Styela clava: one gene and its partner. The protein of the gene in region 1 interacts with the protein of each later gene in a pairwise test. Links are inferred from orthologs where the notes say so. Each region holds a gene or a part of one and is shown on either strand. Other genes may lie near its edges. The genes, in order: epsin-2-like and WW domain-binding protein 2-like.

What was found.
Region 2: the proteins of epsin-2-like (region 1) and WW domain-binding protein 2-like interact in binary tests that used the Homo sapiens proteins (3 or more experiments, as listed by UniProt). The link is inferred for Styela clava from reciprocal best matches to the Homo sapiens genes EPN2 and WBP2.

The regions. Positions count from the first base shown.
Region 1 is NC_135254.1:23,465,186-23,469,118, forward strand, and holds the start of epsin-2-like, read right to left. Parts: upstream 2,739-3,933; 5' UTR 2,606-2,738; coding exon 2,117-2,605; intron 904-2,116; coding exon 802-903; intron 1-801. UniProt on the Homo sapiens protein: Plays a role in the formation of clathrin-coated invaginations and endocytosis.
Region 2 is NC_135251.1:30,812,611-30,816,543, forward strand, and holds the start of WW domain-binding protein 2-like, read right to left. Parts: upstream 2,393-3,933; 5' UTR 2,303-2,392; coding exon 1,967-2,302; intron 1-1,966. UniProt on the Homo sapiens protein: Acts as a transcriptional coactivator of estrogen and progesterone receptors (ESR1 and PGR) upon hormone activation. In presence of estrogen, binds to ESR1-responsive promoters. Synergizes with YAP1 to enhance PGR activity.

The DNA of each region.
Region 1 (3,933 bases):
CACTTCTCAGAAGTTCATGTGACATTGACATTTCTTCGAGAAAATATTTACAAAAGGAGAGTATAGAAATTTTTTTCAAAGTTTTGATATCCATTTATGACACATGACTGTTTTGGTCAGGTGGAAAAAAAACAAAAAAAAGGTTTAATTTTTTTCGATTAGGTAAAAAATTTGAGAAAAACTGTGAATAAAGTTAAAGCTTTTAATCAAAACACAATAAATAGCCAGCCAGTTTCCTTTTCACAACCTCAAGAGAGTCAGAACTTCATATTTTGTCATAAGCATAACTAAGAGAATCACAACTCCATCAGAGCTTAACAAACTTTTTTAGTATAAATATTATCACTGCACGCTAATAAATTTCAAATTTTGCCATAGCATAGCACACTAATGATCACAATAGTGACAATACTAATCAATTTAACCTGGAATAGCCAAAACACACTATTTAACTAGGCATCTCCAATAATATTGTTTTATGCAAAATTGAACTAATCTTTCTCTGCAACAGTCTTGAATAAATGTGACATCACAATGACTCTTAAATATTATGGTCCTTATCATGGTGCAGGAGGATTAGATAAAATGAATCGAAAAAAATTAAGAAGAGGATAGTTTAAATAGAAAACAATCACAATTAGCAAAAAAACAACAAATTTATATTCCTCCTACACCTTTCATGACACATGTTAGGTCTCTTTCATGGGCTACTAGTATGTCACAGTTATGGATGTCTGGTATGCATTTTTCTGCACCACATCAATTTTTTTCTTTCATCAATTCTTACAATCCTATTCATACCTGCTCAAGTTCTGTTGACACTGGTGAAGATGTGAGAGCTGTGTGTCTGGTCTCCGGTGTACGATGAGTTTGCGGTGTTGAACTTCCATGCCCATATGAAATCTGAAGTTTTGAATAAAAGATTATATATTGCTGTATTTTAAACATTTCAACTCTAAAGTGATCTTCGTTATTGACTAAACCTAGGGAAATCCACGGGCAAAAAAGAATCTGCAATCTTGAATAAATAGTAGGGAAATAATGAGCCAATGTAGGTCACATTTCATGAAAAACTGAAAAATATCAAAACTAATCAATAAGAAGCGATAGTTCAAATACAAAACCAAGACTGAAAATACCAATTCGTATCTTTTTAAAATGAAGCCAAAGAAAAATATGAATATTATGGGTTATGGCTTGGAATCTGAATAAAATATTCCTCTCAGATTCCAGATGTGATTTGAGAATAAACCACGATATTTGGTTAGTTGACTAATACTTTTTGTTAACAAACAAATTTGAATATGGTAGTTGTATTTTGTTTTTAAATAAAGTAATACAGATTCTCCTAATTCTTGGAACGAGCACTGTTGTAATTAGGGGGTATAGATAAGGTTAGTTCAAATAAAGTACAATTAGAAAAAAATTGGTTCCCATCAAATTTCTTTGGTAAACATTTTTCACAAACTTTTTTAAAATATAATTTACCGTTAATAAAAAATTTTAAAACCCCAATCAAAAAATATTCCAAATCACACATGATTCAGAACCAACTGTCATTACTTGCACATTGATTTTTTGATTGATTTTCATTAATAAAACTAATTTCAGCGTCATAGTGAAAGTGCAAATAACAGGATTCAAGATTCATATTTCATATAATAAATCCAAAAACTTTTGATTTAATTTCTCCCATCATCAATTTTCTAGACTGGGTACTGTGTCATGTCTTTATTTTATCAGCATATAACAAAATGTATGAAATAATATAGTAGTCGAATATTAATCTTACTGGCAGGTTTTGTGAATAACATAAATAAAATGCAATTTGATTCAAACATGCTATTCAATATTAGTTTAAATTTATTATTATTATTATAAATTTTTACACTGAATTTCAGGTTGCCTTGAAAATTAAATAATCAAAATTACATTAGAGCGATGCCTTTTAATAATCAGCATTAATAATTTTTAAATAGTGAATAAAAAATCTGAAGATGAGAATTTTAAAAGATGTCAAATGATAGGTTTTAAGGGTACAAACGAAATAGAAACTTCATGCAGGAAATCAGTTTGTGAACATCCACAACAGGGATATGAGAGCGTAAAATCATACCTGACGATCACTTCCTATACCAGTAGTGGCCTGAGCAAATCTCTCTTTTGCTTTTATTGCTCTTGCTCTTTCAGTTTTCAAACGATCTTCATCTTTGAGAAGAAGGACTAGTTGTTTCGATTTCTCTCTGACATTTAAACCTTGATCTTTCCCATCTCGATCAAGAAACTGGAAATCTTTAAGTGTTTGTATAGCAAAAATATTCTCCTTGCACTGCTGAGCAACTCTTTCTGAACCAGTTTTTATAAGATAATCCAACAGCGTAAGTGCTTTATAAACATGCCGCCAATTTTTCCCATGATCGTTTACTCTTTTCCAAATCATAGACATTATTTCCGAAAATGCGATAACATTATATGTCATATCTGCTATTTCACTCATCAGTGAACTTGAAGGACCCCAGGCATCATTTGATGTGGCTTCACGAACTTTAACCTCAGCCTCTGTGTAGTTACGAACAACATTCATGAAGTTTCGGCGAACAGACATTTTTCCTTTCCTATATATATATACGGAGATACGCTTGTGTGTTAGAATTCACCAGAAGAAAATGATTACAGATTTAAGTTACACTAATACTATAATATGACAGCCAGGAATCATTTCTAAAAATTTAGCTTATACAGTTAGAGGTAAAATCAAAAATGAAACTTTAAATAATAAGGGGATAACAGTCATGAAGAAATAAGACCTACATTTGTCCTGATGAACCTAAACAAAATATCTACTCAGACATTCATTAAATTTCTAGATTTCTCAAAAATAGCCGAGAATGGTTGAGATGGATTTCAAAAAATTTGTTTATTTTGTTTAAAAAAGAGAAACTGAATCTTATCTTCTTATTATACCCTGATAACAGTATAATCTAAATCTTAAATGAAGTTTATTGCTTAGGACAGGGGTGGGCAACCCCTGGCACGCGAGCCCATTTATTCGGCACGTGAGCGAGGCCTCAGAAACAAGATCATTCTCTTTCAGATAAAAAGTTTTGAGGCTCTGATTTATCTGATGAAACTAGGTGTTTGTTTATTCATTATCGTTTGTTAACAATCTGTTATTCATTTAAAATTTTAAACTCTTTTTGACTTTTCATAACATATGGCTACAAAGAAATATATTATGACGAATTGCTCTCAACGAATTGTGACGAGACACAGCATTTATTGGGGGTTCATTGTCACGTAATATATAGTTCGTCTGTGCCACCATTTTTCTTCATTTCTGATTGATTTATGAAGTTGTACAGCTTATGTTGTTTAGAGTTACTTGCTAACTTACTGAAATAAATTGAGTTCGAAAGAAATAAAAGCAATTATAGAAGGGAAAACAAGAGAGAAGTGCAGAAAACGAACTATCGCGTGATTGGGAAGAATTTTTCGTGTCTTAAAAACATTGCAACTGCATGTTTTTATCTACATATGCTTGTGACTTTCTGTTCTCAGTTATGAACTTTAGCTCATAATAGTCTCATAATACAGTAATAGGAGTAGCCTGAAAGATGAAACCAGTAGTTCGTAACTTTCTTTCAATGTAGCCTAAATCTCTATCAACGGTAATGCAGCAGCAGAAGTCTCACTTATATAGAATAAGAAAAGTAATCAAATCTATTTGTCGGGCTGATATTTTCCCGAATAGTGAATCTGTCTGTAGCTTACATGTTTAGAAGGTTTATTATTGCAGCATTGTGTATTTTTGCTTTAAATGTAACAAAGCATTGTTTTAAATTTTGGTCGGCACGCGGAAGAATTTTTGTCGTTAAATTTAGCCGATTTGGGCACGCGAGCTGAAAAAGGTTGCCCACCCGTGGCAAACGAGAG
Region 2 (3,933 bases), on another chromosome or scaffold:
GTGGCCTTAACGCAAATATGAAACCAAAAAACAAACAGTACCATCAAAACAACAACAACAATACAAACAAATAACGATGAAAAACAAACAAAGGAAACTACCCAAATAGATGAACCCCAACCCAACCACATCAGTTAGACCTGCTATTCTAAGATGATACGATAGCATCCATATCCAGTTATAGGAAACTCAATAATAGGCTAAATTTATATGATCTTTTATATTTACAGTTATATCTTGTATTGTTTGAAGAAGTTAGACCATGATCTAACGAAAGCTCACAAATATACTTACTATTTCGTTGAAAGAGATCATGTTATTTTTACTGTGCCACATACGGATCCGAAGTAGAAAGTAATCAAGGAGAAAGGACCTGCAGTTCAATACACAATATCCAAGTTCCCCTAGTACATTTATGTACTTGAGAATTTCTCTAAGGTTTCGTGAACGAGTCACATGAAAAAACAAGTCGGTAGGCGCCCGGGATCTCCGCTGATACTCAGCCCCGCGTCTGTATTATGCTATCGCGATGATCCAATTCGTTTTAGTCCCTGTAGCACTCTAGTGGTCACCAGTAACTTCGTTCGAATACAAATCTCTTTTATTTCCGAGACCATTTACGCATGCAATAACAATCACCGATATTGCCTGTTACCGATGGCGATATTTCCTGTTCATTTTGAACGCTGTGCGTCTGCTTTTTAGCGTTGCATGAGGAATAAAATGTTGCTAATTATTGAAACATGTTCACTAAAATTCCATCAATCAATCAATTTAATTCCAAAGGCTTCACCAGTTTATAGAGTATCGAGATGAATGGCGGCTTGTTAGAGAAAGCATTTTCTCTCGCGAGAGGTAGCAATCTCAGAATTCTAATTTTCGACTTAATTTACAAGAAAATTGCAACAGAATGTCAAAAAATTAGAAATTTTCTCACAATCGGATGTTTTGTGGTTGCTGCCGTGGAAGCGAAACAACAATCCAGTCTTTCAAGGAAACGCATAATACTAGGATGACACTCGACAGGTTAACTCACATAAGAAATTTCACCCAAATTGATCTAGCCGTTTAGAGGCTACATCTAAGCAGACAGACAGAACGATCGAGAATAAGGGTCTCCTATAGAGCGGAGCTCCAATATACAGCATTGGGACTTCAACTTGGGGCTGTATGATAACCTTATATGTATTGCATGGCTGTTACACATGACACGCACAGCTGATTTCTCTCTTCGAGGTCCACTTGATTGACCATTCTCAAATTTAAGAGTCAGTATTTTTTTCCTTCAAGTCAGGTTCATTTTTTTAACCATCATAAGGTTCTGCTTATTTCATACGCATAATACTAGGATGACACTCGACAGGTTAACTCACATAAGAAATTTCACCCAAATTGATCTAGTCGTTTAGAGGCTACATCTAAACAGACAGACAGAACGATTGAGAATAAGGGTCTCCTATAGAGCGGAGCTCCAATATACAGCATTGGGACTTCAAATTGGGGCTGTATGATAACCTTATATGTATTGCATGGCTGTTACACATGACACACACAGCTGATTTCTCTCTTCGAGGTTCACTTGATTGACCATTCTCAAATTTAAGAGTCAGTATTCTTTCCTTCAAGTCAGGTTCATTTTTTAACCATCATAAGGTTCTGCTTATTTCATTTGATCACTAACACTTACTTTTCCGGAAAGGAATACATGTTACAAATACAATGTTAGTTGGTGAGATACGATAGAAGGAAAAAAAATGTGTTTTTGGTCATTATACAGGATATGTATATTATAGATTATAGTTATGTTTCAATGCATCTAATACAGTAATATACATTCCAAGGCTCAATTAGGGAGCCCAAATATTATGTGATGGCATCAACCAGGAAATGAGTTTAAAAATTCAAGGTAAAATCAGCTAACTTTTAATTTCATTATTTGTACTTGAATAAAATAAATCAATATTACCTTGAATGTCATTTCAAATTCTGCGGAACCTTGCCATCCACCTCCTTCTTCAGCCATTATTTTTCCTTCCAAGTGGTTCGCGCCAAACACAGGTTGCTTGATCTCAAAATCCTTTATGAGTTTGAATGGCATGCTAAAATTTTGTAGCATGTCATTTGTTTTGCTGTTCACAAAAAATGCTCTGAAATTCGTAAGATAAAGCTGGCCGACTTTCGATCCCTTCAAGTGCTCAGATGAATATTTGACCTTCTTGAATTTCAGTTCAACATCTTTGTGTTGTTGCACAGTCAGCTCGCCTTGAAATAATTGGAGTCCTGCCGATCTATTGATAGACATGACTGCACAAGTTTTGCAAGGTCCAGGTGATGAAATATTACCAACTTATAGTTTCAGGGTTTAGAGTAAATCTAGAGAGGTAAAATCCTTTTAGTTTTTGTTATTTGCATTAACACAGTTGAGTAGTATCATGTGCATAAAATTGTAAAAAAATTCTCATGCGGCTTCAATTATAAATGCTCATTTAACTGCCTTTCAAATTGCAATGTTTCGATGTCTGACACTGTTCGAGGTTGGTGTGTTTGTTCCGGGAACTTCTTAAATAACGCCCAACATTGTATAGTTTTCGCTGTAGGTCAGTAGGTACCGTACATAACCATCCTATTACAGCATCATGCAAAGGGTTGCCAGATCCTACTGTCCTAGTGATCAAAAAGGGCCAAATTGAGACGAAAAAAAAGCCAGCAAAAGCCAACAATTTTACTAATTACAAAAGCACCTGATGTAGAGCATTTAGTGAGCCACACAAATGTCTTTTCTCATTCAGTCATTGAAAGTTGTATTTTCAGTTGCTAGCTATCATGGCGATTTCCGCTTCAGCGAGATGGAGGGTTGAAAAGGGGTTAATTGAATGGCAGCACCAGAACCTACATTTGACATTATACAGTCAAACTGATATCTATATGAAAGAGTTGGGAAAATAAAAAAAATAGAAGGAAATATCAAGCGGACAGCATCACTCAACAATTCAATATATATACACAGGGTGACGCTTCAGTTTGTGATATACCTTAAAACATTCTCACTGAACATTTTGAAAACCATCATTTTTATTTAAAAAATTATCTAACCATGTGCCCGCTTACAGGTCTGCAGGCGGACTACTGATGGCTAATTTTAGCGTATTTAATCACAATCGTTCGTGACACTAAATTCTGATTACTGCAACTAAACTAAAGCTCCTGGGAAGGCATAATGCAGGAATGACAATTAAGTCATACAACTATATTTGGGAACAGAACTGAACACTGACAAATAACTAAAAGCATGGCAATGTTTACAACCCCGCTTGAACATCTGTTTGAGCGGCTGCAGAAACTGCAACTATTTTTTGTTGGTTATGGTCATAAACAAGAAAATCGATGCTCTTCCAAATGTTAAATAGCTAAGCAATAGGCTATTGTTACACACTAAATATTGTATAATGTATTTCATATGATTTTTAATAATACACATTGAAGGAGACTGAAAAAAGTCAAGAAAAAAGCCAAACGTAAATTCTGACGCCAATCGTGTTTGAAAAAAGCCAAAAATGGCGAATTTGGTGTTAAAAAGCCACATAGCAACCCTGAATTCATGCAGTCATGGCTTGAGATATAACGTTATCTGTATACAGGTATATGAGGTAACGCCGACTGCGCCGAGGCTTTCTACCACAGCACCAACAGAGATATACCTAGCTGTGCGGTAATCAATACCTGCAATCAGGTGAAATTTCTACAACCATCTCGGGGTCGTGATAATAATATTTTCATTTATCACTTGTGATATACACCGATCCCTGCTGTCGATCTTTACACACAACAGCAATGGGCTGCTAGTGCTAGACAGTATCTGCCACTATGAAAACATTTTCTTTGTCATACCTACCAAGTCACATAGTCACTTTGTGTCATACGACCTCTGCACGT